2 linked regions of the Caenorhabditis elegans genome follow. The protein of the gene in region 1 interacts with the protein of each later gene in a pairwise test. Each region holds a gene or a part of one and is shown in the gene's direction. Other genes may lie near its edges.

Region 1 (4,159 bases):
AGGGGGATAAGGAAGATCAGCGGCGCGAGAAGTGTCTCGAGAATATTGGCGGCGGCCAACGAGGCGCGAGGAGCGACTTGAAGAAAACGCGATCGGTGTGAGAAGGAAGAGTGTTCAAGTGATAGTGATGTAATGATTGCGGCGCCCAACAAGAGATAGAGGAAATCCTGGGTCTCTCTTCCTTGTTTCAATCTTCAACTTGTCGGCCAGGTCGCGAAGAGGAGACAGCTGACAGAGAGAAAAGGCCAAGGTGAAGGAATAGAGAAGATAGAAAAGAAGGGACGAATGGATGGATGGGTGGATGGATGACGGACACACGAAGGTGGGATCATTTGAGACGAAGTGAAAAGACAACCAGTTGCTGTCATGAGAAAAGGACGATGCAACGATTACACCAAACAACTTATAATCATTTTGGTCCCGGTTTCAGCGATGTAATTAAAGCATATTAAAAAAAAAAACTCAAAATCTCACCTTTCCACGTGATTTGATCCGTTTGTTGTAACTGTTCCATTTTTCAAATTTGCGTTTTTCTCACCCGCTTGAGGAGATGTAGGCGTGTTTGGTGCTGTGGGCTGAAATATGAAGATTAAAAAAGCTTAATGGCAGAATTCTATTAAACTCACATTCAATCGGCGATATAGCCAATGTATTGAATGCAAAATACTAAGCATGCTCATAAATTTTCACTTTGTTTTGTTTTAAAACTAGTGTAAGAAAAGAAAATTAGTGGTTATCTCTACCCCTGGGTCATTAGCGGCTGCCACTGGCTCATAATGAAGCCGTTCTCATTTTACTTGAGGCAAAGGAGAAATCTAAGTTAAAACTGATGTGAGAATATATTAGTGGAGGGCTCGCATCCAAGAGAGTAAGCTCGGAAGTGCGTGAAATGAAGGGAATGCGACAGAGCTGTTTGAAGTTTTCAAATCTCTAGAGGCCATTAGAAAAAAAGAGTATTCTTTGGGTTCGATTTAGTGTCAGAACAGACTGAGCTTTAATTTTTCGAAAGTGTAAGTGTTTAGAAAAAGGGAAAACTTCTGAACAGAAACCGAAAAATGCTCACCTTTTTCTTATTGGTCTTCTTCTTCCTTTTCTTATTTGGCAGTGGTACTGTGCTGTTTTTTTCTGGTCCGCCCATATTCTACACTTAAACACGGTTCGTTTCACTGAAATTGATACAAATAAATAAAATAGGACTCATCAAAATTCGGGGAAAACAAGAAAACACTTCAGAGGAAAATGTTTTTGAGTTTTTAAAAGTTTGCGGAGGTTAATTGAACAACAAAAATGATGATAAAAAGATTATATCTGCCCGTACAAACATAAAATATAATTCTTGATAAGACCTATGCCAATTTCGAATGATAATAACGCTTTCAACGCGGAGGGCTCAAATTGGCGGCCGTTTTGCGCCAGAAATATCGATCTCGAGTTTGATCTGCAGGTTTGCTTGGGTACGGTGGGTTTGGCTTGCTGCCAAGAAGTGTATCATGCGCCTCCGTCTCTTATTTTCACACGCTCTCTCGCCTGCAATTCTCTATTTACAGTTGGTTTTTAGTTCGTTTTATCAGGAAAAAAGCGCATATTATTGCAAAAGTACATCATTTCTTTGTTTCTACATGTTAAATATTAATAGAGAATTTAAAAATAATGATGAGTGTTTAAAAAAATAATTTTTTTACTTTTCCCTTTTTATTTTATTTATTAATTTTTTATACTTCTATCAAAACTCAATCATTCAATATTCAGAATATACTCATTTTTGTGAAGATGAGCAGTTCGCTGCAATCAAATCGTCAGAGTCTGAATCGAAAAGTGGCCGTTATGGGATATCCTCATGTTGGTGAGCGTTTACGACAACTTTTTTTTGTAGAAAATCAAACATACCGGGAGCAAAATTGAACAAAGCAATGAAAAAATTAAAACAACTTTATTTAAACAAGGACATTCACGTTGAGAAACTTTACAGGAAAATCGGCGTTGGTACTTCGTTTCACACAAAATATTTTCCCTGAAAGGTATGAATCAACAATTGAGGATCAACATTCGAAGCACATAGCAGCGTTTCACAGGGACTATCATTTAAGAGTCACTGGTAAATTTTATCATTTTTTGAGCTTACTGAAAACTGATATTAGATATTTCCAGACACAGCAGGACAACAAGAATACACAGTTTTCCCGAGAAGTTGTTCCCTTGATATTAATGGATTTATACTTGTTTATGCAATCGATGATAGAAAATCGTAAGACTTCCGTTTTTTCTTTATTTGTTTTATTTAGATTTATAAATTCAGATTCGAAATGTGCAGCAACATCTATGAAAAAATCGTAAGAACCTATGGTGACACAAGGTATTTGAGCAGAAAGTAAAATTGCAGTCAAAAATCAAGAATTTCCAGCATTCCAATTGTAATTGTTGGAAACAAGACGGATCTCAGCACGCAAAGGGTCGTTCGAGCAGAAGAAGGTGAAGAACTTGCTAGACAATGGGATGCGAAGTTTGTCGAGATCACGGCCAGAGAATCGGTGAGTTGAATTTTTTTTAGAAAAAAGAGTACTACATACTTTTAAATTGTGAAAATTTAAATGTAAACTACGAATACATATAAAACTTTTTAGAAATTTTAAACTTATTTATGAAATAAAAAGTTTAGATTAAATGAGATCTATGAAAAAATCATCCAATAAACATTCTACGGATCGGTAATAAGATTTCTGCCGGAAAATGGAAAACTGCGAACATAGTGTGTTCATTTTTGCGTCTAATATGTGTCCCTCCCATATTTATTTCGCAATTTTTCTTTTTTCTGCAACCTCTCTTCTCTCTTCTATCTCCGAATAAAAAAAGGGAAAGCGTCTGCACCTCTCTTAGTCAACGTGTTCCTACAGGTTTCGACACGTTGCTTCATCCTTCCAATTTTCAGAATCGAGTGCATGAGGTGTTCGAATTGCTTCTCCGTGAGATAGAAATCTCGCGTGGAAATCTATCACCAACGGAGCGTCCAAACGGTAATTCACCAAAAAGGAATCCGTTTAAGGATGATGGAAAGCCGTGTAGTATCAGTTGAACACAGTTTTTTTTATTATCAATTTGTACATTGTCTCTTTTCTGTTTCTTTTCCCCAAAATATCTAGGCTTCCTTCACTGCTAGTGCCCTATTCCTTGCCGCTGGTCAATAATTATCCGCCTTCGCTCTTCTTCGCTTCCTCACTTTATTCGATAGATGCGAGACAAGATAAAAAAAATGAGATCAGGAAAACGTGGCTTCTTCTCTTTTCCTGAGAAATGTATATATTGTTTTGAAATTTGCGGAGAAAAAATCACTTTCAACTGGTCTGTTTCTTTCATTATTTTGGTTTTCTCAACTATTTGCTCAACTTTTTTTCCCATTTCAAAGTGCCTTACACCGGTTTACATGTCAACGTGATTCTTGTGAAATGGCTTTTTCCTAGGTATATAATTCCTTCACAATCATGATTTCTTTTTGTCAAATCTCCACTTTCATCCGGTTATTGTTTTGTTATTTTCTGTTTGTTTTCTTTTCCCGAATCTGTTTCGTTGTAAATACATCAGATCTTTTAAACTGTTAATGAAAATAAATCTTAATAGTTTTTACTGTTTTTCCTACTCATTCCACTCCTAATCTACCTGGTAGCTAGCCAAATTCGTATATTCGAAGTCATTCTTCTTTAGTTGTCATAGCGACTGTTTCAGATGATGACGGGCTCAACGGCTTCACCTCCTGAGCCATCTGCACCGCCCGCCGATTCACCGTTCGCACCGGTGACGCAAAACGGTTCGTTTGCCACGTGTTTAGGGATGTGCGGCAAGATTTTTCGGCGAACATATTTACAAAACTGCTTTTAATGTGAAATCATGGTAATCCGTGTATTGTCATATTCTAAATAAGCACTTTCCTACTTTTTCCGAAAAAATTTGCCACACAGCCATGCACGTTTTCACGTGAAATGCATTTTTTTTCATTTTCGTTAAATAGCATTTAAATATTTATTCCTCAAGAATAAATTTAATAAATACTTGAGAATGAATCGATATTTTTGTTTTCAAGACTCGTCACCAACTTCTGATTCGACGGAAACAATGAGCAGAATACCAACTGGAATAAAAGTTCCTGATGTTGTGGCCAAGTAAGTAT
Region 2 (4,708 bases), on another chromosome or scaffold:
AAAAAACGGTCATTCATTTTGGTGTTGCCTCTGGCATTTGCTGTCTTCATCCTCATCTTCTTGACACTTGATATTTCCTTTTTTCTTTGGTTTTTCCTTTCATTTCATTTCATGGAATTCTCATCTAAACTGCGTGGCTTCTGTTTACTCTTCTTTTCCCATCCATCAGAAACGCTTAAGCGTTTTTATTTTAATTCTCAAATTTCACACTTTATTTTTTATTTATCACGCTATCAAAAATGTAAAACTTTTTATTCAAACATAAAGTATACTTTGATAATTTATTGGCACCACAATAATTAAAAATCCTAGTGAAAAAATTTGTAAAACAGCTTTCAAAATTTTTTTTAACACAAATAATTAACACTTTTTGCCAGTTTATATAAAATTGAAAAAAAAAACATTGAAAAGTTGTACTATGGCATTTTGGCACCATAGATGTAGTTGAAAACACTTTTCCCAAAACTGTACCACTTCAAGTTCTTGATAGTTTCAAAAAGTAACTAATTAACTAAAACAAGAGCACTCACTACATAAAGGCCGGAAAATGACGACCGACAGTGATTGCTAGTAGGATATAAATTATGAATTCAAAAAAAAAGATTCGTTTTTTTTTTGGCCGAAGGTATTAGAAGAATCCAATCAAATCGGCCCCAACTTTTTTCTGTACTGCAATAACCCCGGCCGATGGAATTATACAAGTTCACATCAATATCGAATCAATCACTATGCATAGTTATCGGATGTGTTCACGTTAAGATATTTATATAGAATAAGTCTTTTTTTTATTATGTAAACGTGATTTCAATTTTTTTTTTCATTCTATAATTTTGGTTTAAATAATAGAAATTGGGCCCAAATGACCGAATAAAATTGTAAAAAAAATAATAAAATTTATTAATTGTTTTTTTAATGATTTTTCAATTTTGCAAAAACTAAAGAAAGGAACGAATTAAAATGAAACTCCCGCAGAAGTGAGTGACGTCATTTTTTTATATTTTCGGGTTATCTAGCTAAATTTATAGGTAATTTTTTATTTTTCTCATATATTTGGTTTAAAACCCCAGTTGTCATTTTTTCAGACATTTTTACGTGAAGAAACCTTGCAAATTTATAATCAAATGTAGAATAAAAAATAAATTTTTTAAACCAATAACTTTAGCCAAAAATATTAAAAATGACGTCATTAATTTGGAATTCAATTTTACAATTGAAAATATCATTAAAGAGTTATGAATAATTGAAAATTTTATAAATTTTTCACAGTTATATTTCAAAAAGACTCTACTCTACGATTAAAATATAATTTCTGCTTTAAATTATCTCAATAGCCAATTTATTTGTATGTGTGTCCGTTACATTTTCTTTTCTCAAACTAGTATTCCACACACACAACGATTCCTAACCCCAGTGTCTTCTCATTTTGCTCCTATTGATGAATTAATCCAATCAGTCACGCGCAAATGTCACTCACACATGCCCTTTGATGAACAGAAGCAAAGCGTTCAGAGCATCTGCCCTTTCAACTTGCGCTCTCATTTACTGCCGACGTTGAAAAAAAAACGAGCACCGAGGAGTCTTGGAATTGAGTTTAAACGCTTTCCTGAACGTTTTTTTCTTGCTTAACTTGATACATTGTACTCTACATTTTTCTGACTTTATAGTTCATCTTTCCAACTTTCAGGAGAGTGGAGGGCCTCACGAATCGAGTGTTTGAAATGCAGGCGGCTCCGTCCTGCTACGGCAGCATGGTTGCTAGCACATCAGAAGAAGTCACAACATCCACATTATCGCGGGGACCAATGACCATGTGAGTTTGTGAAGTTTTCGAAGACATCGCCGCGTAATCATGTGAAACTATCTCTCTAATCTAAGGAGCCCAAAAATCACTCAAAATTTGTTTATGTGCAGTCTCTACTAGAAAAAAAAACCGATCTTGATGCACATTTTGACCGGCTCAAAATACATACACATTGTGTTTTTCCACCAACCCACACACTTCCACACCAAAATCTCCAGGGACATCACGTCTCGGGCAAAGTTCGGTTTTGGAAAAATGCTACAAAAAAGTTAGTGGCGGAAGTTGAACCTTTATATTTGCAACCAGCTACGTCTCTAAAAAATTTTTAAATTATGAGTACTCCGCCTGGCAATTCAACAATGTGGGTATACAATTTGTGAACACAAAAATTTCCCGAGTAGAATGTTTTTCATTTTTCTGCACATTTTATTACGTAACTTCAATTTCACATTTATTTGCACAAGCCTGATCCGTAGAAGGAGCAGTGAGCCTGAAAAATGAGAGTGATTGACAGAAAGATAGATTGGTTTTGAGTCGGCTCAATGCTTTGTACTGAAGTTTTTTAGTATCACATTTTGATGAAATGCTACTAAATGAGAATTTAATTTTGAATATGGTAAGGTTTCTGGTGTAAGGTTTGTGTTCTCAAATTAACGAATTTCTTTATAGAACCTCACACAAAATTGTAAAAAAATTCTTTGAACATAATTGGCTATTTTTAGCAATTTCAAAAATTTGCCAATTTGCCAAAACTTTGACAGAAAATTTCAAAAAGGAGAGGAGTAGTGCCAGTTAGGACAATGTTTAAAACTGCCCTATGGAGTCAAAATAAAATTAATTTTATAATAAAGCTGTTCACAAAGTTTTCGGAATTTTTTTTATTTTGTGTCAAAAAGTGACAATTCCTCAGTTTTTCCTAATCATAATTTTGGAAATCAACAAAAAAAATATTTTTTCTAAGACTTTTTACTTCAATTTTGTTTCAATTATTCGTGTTCTAGTAGTGCGACATTGCTTTAAACTTTCATAAAAGCTCGTTTTTTTTCAAAAAATTTGGTAAATTGCCAAAACTCTGACTAAAAATTTAAAAAAAAAACGTAAAATTTTTTGGAGTGTTTTATTAGAGTATTTAAACGTTCTGGATCATAATAAGTGTGTACATTTTAGGCGCTACTCCACTTTAAAAAATATTTTCGGTGTTTCTTCTCAACTTTGTGAAATTTTTCTGAATCGTGCCAAAACATACTTTCGATTTTTTTCACATTTCATTTGAATTTAATGCTAGAATATGAGAATTTTTCTCAGCAAACTATTTTCATTTGAAAAAAAAACGCGTTCCAAAGGAAGTTAGTTTCCCAGACTACGGAAATTGGCAAGAAACAGAGTCATTCTTCATCTCCGCCGTCCGTTTCCACTTCAACGTTACGTCTGGCAAAAGTGCGAACATCTTTTATTGAAAAACCTCATGAATAAATCTGAAACATGTTCATAACCGATTCTGTCACCTGTTGAGACCCTCCTAGTTGTCGAACAACAACCAATTACCGGCTAAACACAATTTTCTAAAAAAGGGGGTTAACGTTTGAGGCTAACAGAAATAAGTCTATTGACCAAGTAAAATCATTTTGCTATGCATAAATAACTAATTTTACAGGTCTGTATCAAAATCTAACAGTCAATTTATTGAGGCTCCTGCTTTTTTCTACGATATGGACACTGATTTGAAGGATTTGAAAGTGAGTTTAATTTTACTCGTAGTAACATTTATTTTATTCATTCATTCATATTGAACGCGTTACACTTGTTCCTTGTTAGTACACTCCACAGATTTTTATTTCTTGTTTGTATATAATTTTATTTTTGAAAATATTTTTTTGAAACCATTTTTAATAGAAATTGGCAATTGACAATATTTCAAAAAATAAACGGAAACTGTTTAAATTTCTAAAATTTTTGAATTAAAGTTATGGTCGAACATTTTAATAAATTTATTTCCTGACAAAATGCCCTTTTTTTTTAGCTCAAACTTCCACGTTTTAGTAATGCCTTAAAACAATAATCGGTCGCACAAACTATGAAAAAATCATGTCAAAATTAACCTTTTTTTCCAATTTTCAAAAAATAATTTTGTTTGAAACTTACCGAAATCAATTGCCAAAAATGTTTGAAACTATTGGAAAATTTAAATATAATTTTCATTATAATTTTCTCTCTCTCATTTTCAATTTCACAAAAAAAAAAAATTAATGAAATCGATTGAAATTTAAAAGTTGGGTTGTTTGGAAAATTAGCTTTAAATAATAGAAAATGGCCCGTAATGGGCGAATACTTTTGTTAACTTCATAATTCATAATTTCATAATTTGTTATTCAAAAATGTGTTTACCAGACCGCACTAAAAGACGTGGATTTACTAAACGACTCTGGCTACCGATCGGTAATGGAACGATCCACTCATCCATTTGCGACGAGTCTAGTTTTCCACGAAGACAATGGCTTCGATTCTGAAGACGACGCAACGGACGAGCATTGGGGTTGGTTTGAGCGGGTAGACTTGTGTGTGTGTGTCTGTGTAGTAGTTTTCGCAAATTGCGCAACTTAACGTATCGTAAAATAATGACAGAAGCGGCCGTACTCGTCCGGGTGACCAATCATCCGCTCTACGAATAGGTTATGGACAAAATAGGCGCGAATATATATATAGTACGGTATTTTGCGGGATTTCGATGCACGATCTAACTTTCTATAGTGCCCGTATTATACAACTGGCCAGGCTGGCTTGGCCCACCGCGCGGGTAAAGTTGGCCGCAATAGTCACTTTCGGTTGCTTCATTCATATTCTACCTTCGCGATTACTTTAGTAGATTTCTATATTTGGTACATGGTACCTCCTTTATTAGCATGGAGA

What was found. Proteins that work in one complex are often made in the same cells at the same time.
Region 2: the proteins of rheb-1 (region 1) and cgef-1 interact in a two-hybrid assay, tested with the Caenorhabditis elegans proteins (one study listed by BioGRID).

What each region holds. Positions count from the first base shown.
Region 1 is NC_003281.10:9,453,621-9,457,779, reverse strand, and holds rheb-1 (GTP-binding protein Rheb homolog 1), read left to right. Parts: upstream 1-1,749; 5' UTR 1,750-1,770; coding exon 1,771-1,843; intron 1,844-1,969; coding exon 1,970-2,095; intron 2,096-2,148; coding exon 2,149-2,245; intron 2,246-2,296; coding exon 2,297-2,353; intron 2,354-2,401; coding exon 2,402-2,528; intron 2,529-2,926; coding exon 2,927-3,070; 3' UTR 3,071-3,617; downstream 3,618-4,159. Other genes in the region: F54C8.7 (AH domain-containing protein), read left to right, coding at 3,721-3,799, 4,073-4,151. UniProt on the Caenorhabditis elegans protein: Binds GTP and exhibits intrinsic GTPase activity.
Region 2 is NC_003284.9:2,770,360-2,775,067, forward strand, and holds the start of cgef-1 (DH domain-containing protein), read left to right. Parts: upstream 1-1,682; 5' UTR 1,683-1,718; coding exon 1,719-1,810; intron 1,811-1,833; exon of another isoform or gene 1,834-1,945; intron 1,946-3,455; coding exon 3,456-3,537; intron 3,538-4,189; coding exon 4,190-4,334; intron 4,335-4,464; exon of another isoform or gene 4,465-4,642; intron 4,643-4,708.